2 linked regions of the Cricetulus griseus genome follow. The protein of the gene in region 1 binds, or shares a complex with, the protein of each later gene. Links are inferred from orthologs where the notes say so. Each region holds a gene or a part of one and is shown on either strand. Other genes may lie near its edges.

What was found. The genes of interacting proteins can lie anywhere in the genome.
Region 2: Tonsl (region 1) and Mms22l share a complex: the UniProt entries of both Homo sapiens proteins name them as parts of the MMS22L-TONSL complex. The link is inferred for Cricetulus griseus from reciprocal best matches to the Homo sapiens genes TONSL and MMS22L.

Annotation. Positions count from the first base shown.
Region 1 is NC_048595.1:373,903,644-373,906,831, reverse strand, and holds the end of Tonsl (tonsoku-like protein), read left to right. Parts: intron 1-2,426; coding exon 2,427-2,608; 3' UTR 2,609-2,677; downstream 2,678-3,188. UniProt on the Homo sapiens protein: Component of the MMS22L-TONSL complex, a complex that promotes homologous recombination-mediated repair of double-strand breaks (DSBs) at stalled or collapsed replication forks.
Region 2 is NC_048595.1:117,163,748-117,167,565, reverse strand, and holds part of Mms22l (protein MMS22-like), read left to right. Parts: intron 1-825; coding exon 826-875; intron 876-3,042; coding exon 3,043-3,130; intron 3,131-3,226; coding exon 3,227-3,407; intron 3,408-3,818. UniProt on the Homo sapiens protein: Component of the MMS22L-TONSL complex, a complex that promotes homologous recombination-mediated repair of double-strand breaks (DSBs) at stalled or collapsed replication forks.

The DNA.
Region 1 (3,188 bases):
ACAGGATTTCTCTGTGGCTTTGGAGGCTGTCCTGGAACTAAAGTAGTGTGCCACTACTGCTCCACTAAAAACAAATTTTTTTTTAAAAGATTTTATTTATTTATTATGTATACAACATTCTGCTTCCATGTATATCTGCACACCAGAAGAGGGCACTAGATCTCATAACGGATGGTTGTGAGCCACCATGTGGTTGCTGGGAATTGAACTCAGTACCTCTGGAAGAGCAGTTGGCCCTCTTAACCTCTGAGCCATCTCTCCAGCCCCCCTAAAAACAAAATTTTGAATGAAAAAAAAAGCATGAAGGGAAAAAGCTGGGTGGTGATTGTACACCACTTTAATTCCAGCACTGAGGAGGCAGAGGCAGACATATCTCTGTGAGTTCGAGGCCAGCCTGGTCTACAAAGCAAGTTCCAAGACACCCAGAGCTGTTACACAGCGAAACCCTGTCTTGGAAAAAAAGTAGTCAACAACAACAAAAAGCATTAAGGACCAGGGCTGGAGAGATGTCTCAGTGGTTAAGAGCACTGGCTGTTCTTTCAGAGGACCTGGGTTCAATTCCCATCACCCACATGGCAGCTCATAACTATCTATAACTCCAGTTCCCACGGCTCTGACACCTTCACACCATTCATATAAAATAAATTTAAATGAATTTTTTTTTTTTTTTTTTTTTTTTTTTTTGGCTTTTTGAGACAGGGTTTCTCTGTGTAGCTTTGGAGGCTATCCTGGCACTTGCTCTGGAGACCAGGCTGGCCTCAAACTCACAGAGATCCGCCTGCCTCTGCCTCCCGAGTTCTGGGATTAAAGGCATGTGCCACCAACGCCCAGAAAACTTTTTTTTTTTTTTTATAAAGATTTACTTACTTGTGCAAGATACAATGGTGCATGCCATTAATCCCAGAATTTAGACTAGTTGTCTCAGAACAGCTGGGGCTACATGGAGACCTTTCTCAAAACAAATCAACAACAAAAAAGATTTGCCTATTTTTATTTGTATGAGTGTTTTACCTGTATGTATGTGCACCATGTGCGTGTCTGGTACCCCTAGAACTGGAATTACTGATGAATGTAAGCCACCAATGCAAGTCGGGTCAGGGAACCCAACTGAGATCTTTTGTAAAAGCAGCAAGTACTCTTAACCATTCAGCTATCTCTCTGGTCCTCACTCGCTTTTATTTAATGCTTAATTTATTCTTTTTTTATTCTTTAATTACTAATCATATTTATATATCCATCCTCCCCTGAATTTATTCTTGTGTCATACTTTTTCTTTGGTTTTTGGAGACAGGGTTTCTCTGTGCAGCCGTAGCTTTCCTGAGCTCACTTTGTAGACCAGGCTGGCGTCAAACTTACAGAGATCTGACTGCCTCTGCCTCCCGAGTGCTGGGGTTAAAAGCCTGTGCCGCGCCACCCTGCACATTTTTGTTTTTTAGTCTTTTCCTGGGTTATCTTTTCTTCTGTGAAGCCACCTGGCTGGGAACAGTTTGTTCCTTTGCAGAGAGGATCATCTCATTGAGGCAGGGGTAGCTCATGCCTGGATTAATCCACAATGATCTCTACTTTTAACAGTGCATCTTAGCTGCTTTGTAACTAGAGAATCTACAGCTAAAGCCTTAAATTCATTAAACAAAAAAAAAAAATCAATGCTGTGGGTGGAGATGGTGGTCTTTAATCCTAGCACTAGGGAGGCAGAGGCAGGTGGATCTCTGAGTTCAAAGCCAGCCTGATCTACAAAGCAAGTTCCAGGACAGCCAGGACTACACAGAAATCCTGTCTGAAAAAAAAAAAAAAACGGAAGATTTGAACCTCTTGATTTGCATTTTGATGCAGGATTTTCTGGGTCAGGAGAGTATCAAACCATTGTCACTTACAGGAAGAGTTCTTTCCTCATTCTTTTTGGCCGGAAGATGGATGGAATCTAGGGTGGTGCAAGCTCCACTAAAGGGCCCTCTCTTTCCTCATCCCTGGTAGAAAGGATTACTCATGCCCTACTTACTGATAAGGTAGCTTGTTTTGCTACACCAAGGCATTCTCCACCTTTGAGGTGTACCTGGTAGACTGGCCAGGCATTGCCTTGCTCAGCTGAAATTTGATAAAAGCTGAGCAGAGGGGATCCCTGTGTTCTTAATTTGATTTGCTCCACACGCTGGTATTTCTGGCACCTGTGCCCTTTTATACAGCTTCCTGGTATCCTGAGCCTTCTGAGATCTCTGGCCTAACGATCAATCCTGGTATTCAGTAGCCTCCAGGGATCCTTGGGCCCACAACATACAAATATGCAAAGCCCTGTTGAGTACACATTTTACATCAGGGCAAACCAAAATGTAGGCTCCGAGGTATGGCATGAGCAACACGGCTCGAGCGTGTGAGATGGAAAAACCTGCCTGGAAGTTAAACCTACTCCCCCCCCTCCCGCCCCCAAGGCTGCTCCATCCAGGGGCCCCTGAACTCCGACATCTGGGACAAGATCTTCATGCAGCTGCAGGAGCTGCAGTTGTGCAGCAAACGCCTGAGCACAAGGGACCGAGATGCAGTGTGTCGGAGACTGCCGGCCAGCGCGTGCTCACTGGACCAAGGTCCCAAGCTCTTCTTTAAATGCCTCTGACCCTGGTCCTGTCGTCTCTACCCCCCTCCACCCCCCCCACAAAAAACTTAATAAACTAAGCTGCTGTCCCCTTCGTGTGGCTGTCTGGGAAAGGGGTGGACGACGTGAGACTTGACAGGCGCTGCTGCCCCAGAGCGCAGGCCCAGGCCGAGAGGACGAGCGCCGACCCTCTGATTGGGCCTGCTCTGTGCGTAGGCTTAGGTGGGGAGAGTGAGCGCCGAGCTGCCGATCGGGCTTCCCGGCAGGCACAGGCGGAAAAAGCGTACACTGAGCTGCTGTCGCCATCTCCGGGCCTCCAAACGCCCCAGGTACGCAGCGGCTACGGCCACCGGGTCCCACAGCAAAGGAACCCTTTGGGCTCAGTGTCCCGATCCCATTTCCTTTGGGGCTCAGCGGCCCTTGCCGCGCGGTCCGTGTCTCAGTAGGCGGTGGGCGCTGTCAGGTGACACCACGGGCTCCTAGCTCAGGTCTCCCTGGCTGTGAGGGTGCCCATCTTCCTCTGGGGACTCCGCTGGCTGTTCCTAGCCCCTGGGACCTCAGTAGCTCAGGCTCTTCATCAAGCCACTCCATCTCGGTTTGC
Region 2 (3,818 bases), about 260 Mb from region 1:
GGCCTCCCATATCATCATCAACCATGAATTAAGAAAATGCCGTAAGCCGGGCATTGGTGGCGCATGCCTTTAATCCCAGCACTCGGGGAGCAGAGGCAGGCAGATCTCTGAATTCGAGGCTAGACTGGTCTACAAGAGCTAGTTCCAGGACAGCCTCCAAAGCCACAGAGGAACCCTGTCTGGAGAAAAAAAAAGAAAATGCCTTTCCCTACAGGCAATCTGGTTGAGGCATTTTCTCAAATGAAGTTCTTCCTAGATGACTAACTTGTATCAACTTGACTAGGAACTAATCAGGGCAGTAATTCTTTTTATTTTCTGAACTACTATATAGCAGTATGATACAGTTTAACATAAAACTTAACCTTAAAAATGTTTGTTGTATCTTAAATTTCCTGAAGATAGAAATATCTCATTGTTACCAAAGGCTGTGATTTTGAAATAGTTTCTGAGATCATTTGTCTAAAGATACTTTTGTAAGTTTAGAGAGATGTACTTTATCTTAAAAAATTTGCGGTGTCTGAAGCTGACTTTTTTTTGCTTCTTTGTGGTTTTCGTATCGTGCATTCCCATCCCGCTTATCTCCCTGTTCCATCAGATCTTCCCTCTGCCCTTGCAACCCCCCCAAACAAAACCAAATTTAAACGGAAAAACCAAACCAAACAAAAACAAACAAAAGAAGAAACTTGTCATGGAAGCTTTTAATAAACATTTACAAAGTGAATTATAAAATAATGGAGCTATCCTGTAGTGTTAGAAACCTAACCCATGTAATTGGTATACACTTTACATTGTGCTAAAATTTACTCTCACATTTTTTTAAATCAGGCAACAGCTATTCAACTTGGAATCCTTAGTTCAAGTCAACTGTGATTTTGGTAAGTTTAATGTGTGCTTAATCACAGAAGAATGCCACTCTATTACACTGATGTATAATTGGGGTTTCATGAAAATGTGAAGTAAGTGCCTTTTTAGAGGGTCAGTGACTCTCAACGTTTGGGTTGACCCCTTCAGGGGTCACATATAAGAGATCCTGGATATTTACAGGATCAGATATTTACATTACAATTCATAACAGTAACAAAATTACAGTTAGGAAAGTAGTAACGGAAATAATTTTATGGTTGGAGGTTATTACAATATGAGGAACTGTATTAAAGGGTCACAGCATTAGGAAGGTTGAGAACCACAGTGTATCTGGTATTTTGAAAGAGTATGACATTTAAATTTTGTTAATGGTGAGAGTTATAGTATTTTTGTGAATTTTGTAGGATTTAAGGTAAATCTGACTTGAAAAAAACTTAAACTTTTCTAAGAGGATTATTTCTTTGGAATTGTGGAACGGGGTGGGAAATATAAATACAAGATAAAAAGTAACAGATCTCCCAGGACTCTTGGTCATCTCTCCTGCTTTCTACTTCTCTTTCCTTATGGCATTTAGCTGATTGCTGATTGCTTTATGTTGTTTCTGGTTTTTTAAGTTTAAGATAGGAGATATAGAACATAAGAAGCCTGGCAAACCTTTCTGATGTGTGGTGATTTATGGTTTTCATTCCTGCTTATTAGAAACTTGAACTGTTCTAACTGGTGTGCACTTTGTAGAGTTGTTTCCAATGTACTTTTTTAGTCTAAGGTGATGTTTCCTCTTATCACTGGGTAGATCAGCAGCTAAGGAGACCTGTAAATCACCACTCTATCTTACCTGGTTTCTTTGTTCTAGTGTGCTTTTGTCCAATATGTTTAATTTTTTAAAACTGAGATTGGCTGTCTCCTTAAGTAGGTTCTGTCTAGGTTCTCCCTGGGATAGTGGCTTAGAAACTACCTCTGTGTAGGAAGCTGTTATGATCATAAAGTTCCATTTCTAGGATAGAATTTAATTGTCATGATTGTAGTACTTGAAAACTTACTTTATGTTGTTTCTTGTTTTTTAAGTTTAAGATGGGAGATATAGAACATCTGAACTCTTTATTCCATCTTGCCCAGATGCAGAGGTTTTAGCAATTTTTAGAAAATACTATTTTCATGAGCTGAGATTTGTCAAAACTGTGTTTTGTGGTCCTGTGACAGAGTACCTGAGACAAAAGTCTTATTTAAGTATGGTTCTAGAGACAGAAAAAGTTATATCTGGTAGCTCCTTATTATAAAGGCACAAGATGGGCCTCATAGGCACCTGGAAAAGAGAGAAAGCTTGAGTAGTGAACTATGGTTGCAGCAGACCACACTGTCCTAGTAAATAATCACACCGTCTTAGTGAGTAATGGAATCTGTGATGGTGAGATGTCATTCATCCTTCTTGATAGTCGACTGGTCAGCTCTTCAGGCCCCTTTACTCCTAACCCCACTACAGTGGAAACTAAATTTCAGTGAAAGCTTTGGAGGGACAAACCAAACTAATACTATAGTAAAGATCAAAAAGATTTTACTTATTGGTGACATATCAAAGAGCAGTTTTAATATTTAGCTGTTAGCATAATCTTACTATTATTTCCAACTGCAATTTTTACAAAGTAGTAGCAATTTTATTCAAATGCTCATTTGAATTCAAACAAGTTTTATGTTAAATATGTATGAGAAATTTTTGTCCATAATTCTTACCCTGTTTTCTCTGTCTTTGTTTAGCTTTTGTCTCTCATAATTGTCAGTGTTTTGCATATAGCAGCAATGTATATAATTCTTAGTGATGTAGTTATTAAAGAAATTGAGTGAAACAGGTGGCAGAAGATGAGTTTAGGTGAATTATTCAAAGGCTATTTGGGCCTTATAAATCATTGTAAGGAGTTTTATTTCATTTTATATATAATATATATATATATAATATATATATATATATATAGGCCTTTATGTGCATTGACTTGAGAGCAACAAGAAATATGTAAAGTCCTATGGTGTGTTCTAATGAGAGACTAGAGAAAGTGGGTTATTTCAAGGTGTATTTGTTGTAAATACTTAATAGGTTAGATTTAAGATAAGCCTGTAAAAAAATTTTGGCCACTGTTCACTGACAGTTGTTTAAGCTATCTTTGATAGTGTCTATTTCCTTTTCAGGGAAGATAGCCACCTTACACTCCAAAGCAGACAGTATTAGGCAGCGATGTGTAACATTTCTCCACTACATTAAAGTTTTCATCTTCAGGTAGGAAAACGAATGGGTATTTTTCTTACTGCATGGATATCTGTGGGTATATTCACATAGATTCTTGTATACTTATTGTATCTAATGCCTTTTTAGGTGCCTGAAAGTACAAGACACCGAGAGCCACAATCTTCATGTCCATCCCTATGAGGCTTTGGAAGCTCAGCTTCCTTCGATGTTGGTTGATGAACTTCGTGGATTGCTTCTGTATATTGGACATCTAGCTGAACTTCCCAGTGTAACTCTAGGAGCATTTGTAAATCAAAACCAGATTAAGGTTTGATTAGTTTGTTTTTTAAATTATCCAACATTTTTCTCCCTCAAGAAAAAGTGTTCAAGTATAAGAAGAATTGGTACAAGCATGGCATGAAATGAAACTATGATCTCCTGTCAGGTTAATTGTGTGTTTTTACTATATAAATGTGCCTCTCCTTAGTTTCTCCATTTCCACAGCTTACTAAGCTTCTAGGAGTTATGGGAAGTATTAAATGATTAGTTTGCCTAAAGTGCTTACAATACTACTCTGAATCAATAGCTGTTCTCTATTTGAAAGTGTAAATGCTTAGAAATTTCAAATAAAAATTAACATCTTTGAAATTTCTGTCATTCTCATCAATAAAGGTTCGGGCAAATGCCATTTCATTTATATGTTACAGTGAAATTTAAGAAAAGGTATTTTTTTTTAAGA